Neodiprion lecontei: one gene and its partner. The protein of the gene in region 2 interacts with the protein of the main gene of each other region in a pairwise test. Links are inferred from orthologs where the notes say so. Each region holds a gene or a part of one and is shown on either strand. Other genes may lie near its edges. The genes, in order: cleavage stimulation factor subunit 2 and protein suppressor of forked.

Region 1 (5,319 bases), on a different chromosome or scaffold from region 2:
GCAACAAAAAATTGTCAAACGTGAAAATAAATGTAATGGTTGTGCGAAAGAAATTCTGCCAAAGTTTATCATTTCTATTTTTACAAAATGACGTACCTTATAGTGGTGTCGAATGATGCGGATAGTATCTGACTGTTGTCTCTACTGAACTGAAGACAAGTGACACCTTTGGCATGTGCTTTTTCGAATCTGCGGAGGCATTGGCCACTTTGAACACGCCAAACTTTCATTTTCCCGTCTTGGCCACCACCGGCAAGCATTTCGCTATCGCGGCTAAATGACATTGATAAAACGGCTTGTTCCATCATCATGAAGTTATCCTGTGCCTGGTACTTCAAGTCTTTTCGTATTTTTCCAGTAGTAAAGTTCCACACCTCTATAAACCCGTCGACGGAGCCTGTTACCAAATATTGTCCATCTGGTGAAAATCTCGCACACTCAACATGTGACTTTTGCCCAAACTTAATTTGCTTAGATAACTGAGTTGGGTATTTTTCATCTTCCTGATCTCGAACAGCTGCTTTGCCTCTGAACAAATCTATGGTTGTGCCAGGAGGCAAGAGCCCTTGGTGCTGCTGCCATTTCAAAGCTTGTCCGAGCAAAGCTAGCAGCCTGCTGGATGGTACGACTGATACTTCACCCGCCAAAGCAGTTGCTATATGAGCTCTTCGCTTTTCCTTTGTACTTCCATCAGGGTATGCTTCCCTTGGGTCAAAGTAGGACCGTGCCAAAAGATTTTCTGGAGAAAAGTGGAAGGTGAGAAAAATTATTCAATTGAAAATTAAATAAACATCTGTAGCTTGTCAGTTAAGAAACTAGTTATGAAAGTTGTATTAGTTATTCTGTTTTACCAAGATGGATGTATCTTTCAGGTTCCTGCTGCTTCATCATTATCATCGGGTCAGTTTGCCTCAGCAGAGATCTAGCTGCGCCCAATTCTCTTAGTTCAATTAGTTCTAAAACAACCTGTGAATAAACATTTGTGATATCGGATTTCTGTTATAAGTTTGACAGTTCACCTGACTTTCTGCGTCTTTGAAAACATATGTAAACAATGAAAGTTGTTAAATACCTGTTCGTACAAATCAATGAGTTTTTTATCAGGCAATTTGAGGGACTGTGTCGCTTTAAGCACAGTATCCCAATGTCCATTGTTAATATCCGTAACAAATCCGTCAACGCTGTCAACTGTATTCAACGAGACACCAGTTTCCTCCTGGTTAAGTATTTAGAGGATTAAATTAACAGTTTGATCAATTAACAAGGAGTATTTCCTCGTAGGATTATGAATAAATTTAATATTACCTGCAAGGTTTGTAGTGTTTTTACAAGATTAGACTCCTTCAAGTACTGTTGAATCAGTCGTATAACACTGAAATAAGAAGATATTGTAGTTTGATCGGGACTAATAATTAATTATGTACAGAGTAGATACGTACTCAGCGGATTCAATTTCGATTGACATTTTTACGAGCGAACAACTATTTATTTACTTGCTGTCACAATGTTTACTTCGGTCAAAAGTTTAATACCATCCTAACCCTAAATAGCAGTCGGTAATAGAATGGCAGGCACTTGATATCGCGGCATTAAGTGCGGAACAACGTAGACGAGCGTTTCAGTAGTTGCAGAAAATTCCGCTAGGAAGACAATCATCAGTATCTATCTAAATATCTAGTCAATGACTTCGTTCCGTGGAAATATTATTATCAAGTTTATTATCAATTTAGTTTTGAATAACCCACGGTGTTCTTGTTGCATGTTGATTGATGTTGATCACGTTCGAATGAAAACACCTGTCTTCTGTCCTTCGGGTGACAAACGTTAATGTATCGTTCGAATTCGAGCAATAAACAAAATCTGTAAATTCGTAAATAAAAACAGCAAAAATGAGTAATTCAACTATTTCAGATCAATCCCTGATGGATAAATCAATGCGGAGTGTTTTTGGTAATTATGAATTAACTTTTTTTTGAATTATAACGCAATGAATTGTTAACCGGATAATTCAGTCGCCCAAAAATACGATTGCAATTAATTTTCAGTCGGAAATATTCCGTATGAAGCAACAGAGGAGAATTTAAAGGACATATTCAGCGAAGTTGGACCAGTTCTCTCATTCAAGTAAGTATGCTCCGTAACGTTCTTTACCCTAACCTCAAACAGTCTTTTATTGTGAAACAAAAAAAAAAATTCAATTACTTTACAGGAATTGGCAGGAAAAATCCATTAAAAAGTTTAAATTTATCTAACACTTTATTAGCATCTCATTATTTCCATAGTGAAAAATACTTATTATTGATTTATTTTGAAACTTGTGTATATCTTTTCGTATCTTTTTCTCAGGCTGGTTTTTGACAGAGAAACTGGAAAGCCGAAAGGATATGGATTTTGCGAGTATAAGGATCAAGAGACAGCGCTTAGCGCAATGCGTAACCTGAATGGCTATGAAATAGGTGGAAGGACACTGAGAGTGGACAATGCTTGCACAGAAAAAAGTCGGATGGAAATGCAAAGCCTGCTTCAGGGACAGAACACTGAAAATCCTTATGGCGAGGCAGTTCAAGCAGACAAGGCACCAGAGGCTATAAGCAAAGCAGTTGCATCGTTACCTCCTGAACAGATGTTTGAATTGATGAAGCAGATGAAGCTATGCGTGCAAAATAATCCAAACGAAGCACGACAAATGCTACTACAGAACCCGCAGCTTGCTTATGCCTTGCTTCAGGCCCAAGTTGTGATGAGAATTGTCGACCCTCAAACTGCAGTCAATATGCTACATAAAGCCAACCCGATTCCTGGTGTTATTTTACCAAATGATAAGCCACCGCTGCATCCTATTGTTCCAAGAATCGAAGAACCCTGGACTCCTAGACCTGCACCCACACCAGTTAATCCACCTGCTCCAATTTTTGCAGGTGAATATAGCCAGATTTCCTGATACTCATTTCAAATATTTATTCTCAGAAAGTCATTCGTCGTGACCCAATTTTAGTGGAACTTAATTTTTTTCTGTAATTTACCCATCGAGTATTGACTTTTAGGTTGAAAATTCAATTATATGATTTCTAATTATTCATTAAATTTATAGGGCAGGATGTGGATCTGCGTACTTTAGATAGACAAATTGATCCAAGGCTGGCTAGAATGGATCAAGACTTACGAGGGCCACCCCAAGTCCCTCCTGTTCCTGTCAGCGCTCCAGTTATAGCTCCTCCATCAGATCCCAGAGCTGTATCACAGAGCTTTGCTCTTCCAGAACCGTTAGTATAATTATAAATTGGGTTCTGTTTCCAATGGGATATTAAATAATCAATAATTTGCGTTCTTTTACAGCACTCTTCCAGCGGAGGGTATAGAGAGGTGTTACTATTATACTTGTCGTGAATGTAGCCCAATAACTTATCATTGTTCGGTAACTTCAATATTCGTTCTAGTTTCGGTCGTGATCCGAGAGCTGACAGATTCGGACGAGAACCACGAGACCCACGTGACCCTAGGATGCCAGTTGATCCTCGAATTCCCAAAATTAATCGTAAGCATCAAATCAGAGTTTTAATTTCCACTATTAACTTATCAGAACTCAGTGCTAGCAGTAACTTTTGTGAAAAAGTGATTTTCTAAGTAACTGTCGAAAGTTGCATGAGAATTTGAAGATGGTTCCTGGTTATGCATATCTACTGTAAAATTTGAAACGATCACGATTAGATGAAGAGATACATTCTCCTCATTCATATAATTTCATTCTGAAGAGTTTTTTCATATAGTTTGTGGATTATGATTAAAAATCGAACGCATAGAGATGTATAATTTATTTCATTCTTAAAGAAGATTTTAAGATTCGCTTGTACAGTATCGTTCGCTATTGCGGCAATGCATTATGCTATGCTGTTGACTTACCCTCGCCACATTTCATGAGATAAATTTAACTCTGATTACGATTTAGTTTCGTGTTCCTTTAACGAGATTATGAATTTTTCCAGATCAATTCTTGTTTGTGATGTTACAGCACCGGCTCCTGGGGTCACGTCTGTCGCACCCAGACCCATTGTGGCAACACCGGTGCCACCCCCTACAACAAGTGGTATTAACCCTACTAATCCACTGAGTCTCTCAACACCCAGTACTGCTACCTCAAGGTTAATGGCGGGGATGTCGCCTGCTGGTAACATTCCAAGTGGTGCTTCTGACCAGGAAAAGGTACTAAAGACTTTCCAATGTTCAAATTTACAATGTCATAGTATGTGATTTTATGAAAGGCTCCTGCTATGTAAGCCTTCCCTGCACTCACCAAAAGATTAGACTGTTGACCTAACTTCATCTAAGACGTGAAGAATATAAACATATTACAACTTTTTGTGTCTTTACATGTATATAACATTTCTTGAAATTGTTTTCATTCTATGTTACAGGCGGCATTGATCATGCAAGTGTTACAATTATCAGATGAGCAGATTGCTATGCTTCCTCCGGAACAAAGGCAGAGTATCCTAGTGCTCAAAGAACAAATAGCGAAAAGCACTCAACGTTGAGAACATCTTCTCACGGAATGATAATAATTGTATTTTACACGAAAAAAACTCATCAATTTTAATATTTAAGTATGTCACTGAACATTATGTTGGGTGTACTAGGTCTAGATTGTTTAAGATTCAATATGTTTCATTATATTACCTGACTTGTCTAAGCAGAGGGTGTGAAAATAAAAATTTGATTAACTGACGTGCGATTTTTTGTAAATATCATGATGATTTTGTGAATACGAAAACTCTGTATACACCACTTGACGAGAAGCACAGATTTTCTGGCAAATAACGTCTTGAAATTTCAAAACGAATTAAAATAGTGGTTAAAAAAAGGTTGGTAGAACCGGCCTTATGTGCGCAGAAGGCCGATGATTTCTAGGTTTAGTTGAACAGCGTATGACGTTGACTCCTGTCTATGGATTCAATCTACTACGAATTTTTTTCAAAATAAACCAAAAACTGGTTTTTTTGGTCACGAAATCTCTTATTAATCAATCCGATCTCAACCTCCGATTGTTGCACTGATCTGCTGAAACTTGGAAACCATTGGTCGCAGCTTACCGGAACTATGTGCAATTATGTTCTCTCGCAAGGTTGCGTCCAAATGGTGCATGAAAGATGCAACATTATTTGAAATCTGCCACATTTCAACGGAAAAATTTCAAGCAGTTTTTGAAGCGAGAATGTTCATTCTCAAATTCGATTCAAAGGATCCTTATAAGACTAATTGCCACAATTAATTTATTCCAGCACTTTTCAAAATCGCGAAAATTTTCGCCAAAAATGCAAAGGG
Region 2 (5,216 bases):
CGCTGAAACTACAACATATCAGTTTACGAAAATAATTATTTACTTGAAATAAGTCAAAATAGGGTGAATATTGTACGAGGCAGTTACACAACAAAAGAATTGCAGTGATCTATGAATTTTGGAAGATTAGAGTACAAGCTAAATTTTCATTTTTACCTTTTGACTTTATTCTACCAGAAGTACAGTTGATAATTTCAACCTGTGACCTAATCGAGACCCAAGAATATGTAGCAGGAAGGAATATAAGGCTGTTACATTCAGAAAGTCACCTTTGTCGATACATGTAAAATTTTTTCTAATACTTGGGATTCGCGTCAATTAATCTAAAACTGGGGCATGCAAAACTTTGAGTTTACCGACAAAACTGACCTCCCGATTGTTTGAACACAGCAGTAATTTATCAATGAAATAAGTTATTGCTTGTTTGTGGTGAAATAAATTTTTTTTTATTCACCTCACATGTATCATGTAAAGTGCTCAGCATCACATAAAATGATAGTATCTTGTTATGACGGATTAAAATACCATTTATACTGACAGCAAATCATCTGTATTCCTATGCAAAGGGTTGTTCAGTTAAATGCATGACTACATATGTCCCGGCATTGATATTCAATAATTACGACTTTATAAGTATTTAATTATTCGCTTCACATACACCTATCTCTCACCAATCATAATATAACTCATCACACTCGGCAGACAGCAACAGGCATTCAGGCATGCATAGAATGTGCTCCGTCACAGGATTAAAATGACCATTTAACCCTGAGAAACTAAGTACATGGAAACCTGTGATAAACCAGTCGAGCTGCATATGTGCCTCAAATTTACTCAATGTTGATATTTTGTTATCACTTTAACCCAGGAAAGAAAACATACGGTAAAAACTCGACATCTTGCTGCACACGAAGCATTGAAGATTGAATATTATCAGAAATGGTAAATTGTGAAATACCTCGAAGACACAGATTCGTTTGGATGTTCGAAGGTGGCGAAATCTTAGATCTGTTCAACGCATAAGCATGGCCTTTATTTATTTCAGCCAATATAAATACTATGTACCAATTGTTATTGCAAATCAGATTCACGCTGCCAAAGAATTCCCATAAATGCGATAACGCGGTCCAGATCATAAATGGAGGTGGAGCAAGATATCAAGCTTTCCCTGTGACACCAAAGATGAAAATAATTGTTTACAATTGTAACAGGATACTCGAAAAAGTTCTGAATACTCAAAATCAAATTTGCTACGTGAAATTAGACGGATATTCTTTCAATATTTATTACTTTCCGAAGGTTTATATTTAAAGAGTGATAACGGTTTAACAACTTCTTTTGAACCTAAAATAAATGATACCGTTTTTCATAATAATGTGAATTTATAATTACTTTGATATATTATTAACTATGCAAGAAAAACCACCTGAATCAATTTATTGTAGCAACTGGTTTATTGAACTCTGGTTTACTTTGCTAAAAATATATACCGAGAAACCTTTATGAAAACCCTGTGTATTTAAGATTTTGTTCACTGGTTGATATATAAATAAAACTCCGATATTTGAAAATATTTTATTTGCCCAATCACAAACACATCATTGTTAATCATAATATTGTCGAAGCGAGGAAAATTTAGATATTGTATTCAATACAGAACCTAACAATTTAGCATACCTTCTCAGTAATAGTGAAATGAAAAAAATTCATACTTCACCCGAATTTTTGGTTATGAATATTTCTGTAGACATTTTTAAACTTTTTAACTGAACAACATGTACATACATGTATATATTATATAACAAGTGAAAACCAACATGAAACTACCACAACACAAATTATTCAGAATCAAGTTGGTAATCCAGACAAATATTGTGAACATACCTTTTCCACCTTCTCAAAGTTGCGCATTTTCATCTGAAACCAAGTACATATCATACAATTATACAATGACAAGTCGTAAATATTATTTGACAACGAACTACTACTAGCCTATAAACGCTGTATTTTATGTGAAAACAAATCCATTAATACATACGATGACTATCAGCTATGAGGATGAATAAGGGTTTGCCATAATTCAACGTTACGTCGTGCACAATTTTACTGCCTATATTTTGACAGGTGTAAATGACAGCTACGATTACCTCTTGCTCAATGTATATTTTCCAGTAACGACCAGCTGATGGGAACACGTTGACAAGTTTTTCAAATACGGATCTCACTTCGGTGATCGGTCTGTTTTGAGCCTCCCTAATCAATATACTCCATGCTTCTAAGTCGTACGGCGATTCTTCGACAGTTTTCTGAGCCCGTTGTAGTTTTTCGTTTCCCCAATCCTGCAATCATTTAAACTTGTCTTACATGTTTTTGTTGAAGTTTTTGTCATACGAAATGAGAATTTCTAAACTGTAATGTGGGAAGAAACACAGTTTAAAGAATAAACTAGAATCGTATTCTAGTTCAATAAAGACTAATATCAGCAACAGAAACAAAAAAGAATAGGAAAAAGCTACAGTTTTTCGGTAATCCGTCAACTCGATAAATAAGTCGGGCATTCCGATCTAAGAAGTGAAATTAGGCGAGGTAAGGTTAGGTTTGGGATTAGGTTATGTTGCAGACAAAAATCAGCAGTTTGCCGGTACAATAATTCATACGTACAAATTCAGTTTTTTCTCCAGACATGATTCTTAGGATCAGTGGCCTGGTATCCTACACGTATATCTCTGAAAAATAACGTAGGAAATAAATTGTTATTTCCTAAGATTATCCAAACCCCGCGTCGGTACCCACTACGCACTATTCAACTATTTATCCACTACTTGATTCGATACAAGTACGATGCAACTCGACCCTTCGAAACCACACAGAAGCGCGACCTCTTCCGGTTATTCTGAATCTGCTCGTGACTTGCCGATAAAACAGGCAGCCTGTACCAAAGCATATACCATGTATACGAGGGATATACAAAGAGGTTCTCTCTGTACAAAGTGTCCGTGCAGTAGACGTAAATTAAGATGGCATTGCTGCAGCAAAAGTTCCACAAAGCGCCAATCACATTGAACCCTGATTGCTAAGCGCCAATCAAATTATGACCCTTATTGCTTATGACCATGCTTATGACTCTGACGAGCACCATTCCCATTCACGTGATTTCTCATTTCTCTTTACCTGTACCGTTCATAGCCTGAGCCGAAAATACCGGACATACGGTCTCAATTATCTTTGAAAAATAGACCATAGACTTGAATAATAATCACCAAGCCAAGAAGAATATTATAAATCGTCACAAGAACAGGAAAGTTTGAAATTCAATTATTCTGGGGTGTAAGTGATAGATCGTGTATTGGGTATTTTCCTCAGTTTAAAATACGTTTTAATTAAAGAAATGTGGAGGTGAAAACAACGATGTTTCGTTCTCTGTTAACATGCTATTATCACACTGTATAACCTATAAAAAAATAACGATAATGATGACTATAAATAATCAACTATTCATTGTTCTACATTGTCAAAACTTTCACGCATCCACCAGAGGCAATCTGTCAATTTCCTTCTCCTTCGGCGTCCCTGCGTAGGTAGCGTGCTGTTCGATGAGCTCCTGCAGTCTAGCCACCTCGATCTGTTGTTTGGACCACGTATACCGGCAATAAACCCAGTAACTCCATGTCGAGCCGACGAAGGTGGCCATGCCGATGTGCGAGGCGAGTTTCGGTTTGCTGGTAAACATGAACGTACCTAAGCCGCCGACAATACTGCAGGTTATTCCGGATAGGAAACTATTTCTGAAGCATGGAATCCTTGTAACGTCTCTCCCGAATAACATCAGCGGCTTGTGATCGTCTTCTTCGTCCATCGCATGCGGAGTACGTTATATATTCTCAAAATATATTGGATTTATGTTACTTGACAGAGGCCGAAAAGCGTTGCAGCGACGGCAAGTTAAGTTTTACGTAACCTCGACTAGACTAGAGGCCTCTGTATGATGCGAATCACACTGTCTTGCGCCGCGCGGAAATACGACCGATAAATAGCGCCACCCCAGCTTTGACAAATACGTTGACTGAAGAGTCTTCAGTCAACGACAAATAGTAGCAGCAAGCGCGCCTAAATTTGATCCAGAAGACTGTTTTTTCCAGTTTAGCATATGTGACGGTAATTTTACAAGATTTATCTGTAAATGTTCAGAGCCCGATCTTCCAACCGTTGTTCAGTGTATATATGTTCCATCGAATCGCTAAGATAAACAAGAAGACATTATGATATCAACATTTTATTTTCATATAGCAAATCAGTTTTTCTTTTATAGAATGTATACAAAGAAGGACATGTGGATAGAATAGTATGAAATAAATAATCACAGTATGAGTAAGTAATGGCAATAACAAAAAAAAAAAAACTGATTATAATAATAATAAAATTAACATCACTTACAATTAGCGTAATTTATCAGGTAAAAAACATTGTGCCACTTGAGTATGATAATAGTAATTAATTAAAGGGAACAAAGTTTTTTCAACACTGGTCAAACTAACCTTTGTTATGCTCATTCCGTCTATGAAAATATACTTTGGCTATAAGTTTGTATACATCATTTGTATTCTATACTATATCTTAAATTGCCTTTGATTTTCCACTATGCATTTGATTACCTACTACTTACATTTTATCATATCATCTTATATCACTGCTATCATACATATCACTACTTACGGAAGGCACTAATAATGGCTACTATAGAATGAGAACAGTCTGTACAAATATAGCCCAACGCTTAAACTAATTAAAGCTACAAGATGCCACTTTAAGACACGAGATAAAAAAAAGAAATGAAGTAATTTTACTTGTAATATTTCTGGTAATTAGATATTCTGGAATAATATACAGCGTTAAGCACACAGTCTCGATGGGTAAGCGACTTTTTGGAAAATCTTCTTCTATCTCAATTTGTTTTGTTTTTGCTGCTAGTTAAAGTTAGTTAAGTCTTTGAATCGGTCACCTGGAACAAAAACAAATCCGAACATTGCATTTCATTCATCATGGTGTCAAGTTTTGGTCAAATTTAATATAAGATCTCTTACCCAGGGTTTTCTTTTTACCAAAGCCTTTCTTTGATTGAGAATTTTTATCAGCAGCTTTCGAATACTCAGCCACCCTTTGGTCAAATAACTTCATATGATCTACGCAAGGTAGATTCAACCCTTCTATTTTCAAAA

Evidence for each region.
Region 1: the proteins of protein suppressor of forked (region 2) and cleavage stimulation factor subunit 2 interact in a two-hybrid assay, tested with the Drosophila melanogaster proteins (2 studies listed by BioGRID). The link is inferred for Neodiprion lecontei from reciprocal best matches to the Drosophila melanogaster genes su(f) and CstF64.

What each region holds. Positions count from the first base shown.
Region 1 is NC_060260.1:6,245,748-6,251,066, forward strand, and holds cleavage stimulation factor subunit 2, read left to right. Parts: upstream 1-1,750; 5' UTR 1,751-1,889; coding exon 1,890-1,950; intron 1,951-2,045; coding exon 2,046-2,124; intron 2,125-2,346; coding exon 2,347-2,918; intron 2,919-3,091; coding exon 3,092-3,263; intron 3,264-3,336; coding exon 3,337-3,363; intron 3,364-3,437; coding exon 3,438-3,535; intron 3,536-3,983; exon of another isoform or gene 3,984-4,009; coding exon 4,010-4,200; intron 4,201-4,412; coding exon 4,413-4,532; 3' UTR 4,533-4,722; downstream 4,723-5,319. Other genes in the region: WD40 repeat-containing protein SMU1, read right to left, coding at 97-739, 852-966, 1,073-1,216, 1,306-1,372, 1,440-1,465.
Region 2 is NC_060263.1:28,266,803-28,272,018, forward strand, and holds the start of protein suppressor of forked, read right to left. Parts: upstream 3,004-5,216; 5' UTR 2,686-3,003; coding exon 2,662-2,685; intron 2,340-2,661; coding exon 2,148-2,339; intron 1,918-2,147; coding exon 1,885-1,917; intron 1-1,884. Other genes in the region: cytochrome c oxidase assembly protein COX20, mitochondrial, read right to left, coding at 3,521-3,856; uncharacterized protein LOC107222830, read right to left, coding at 4,965-4,999, 5,082-5,216. UniProt on the Drosophila melanogaster protein: Essential protein, may play a role in mRNA production or stability.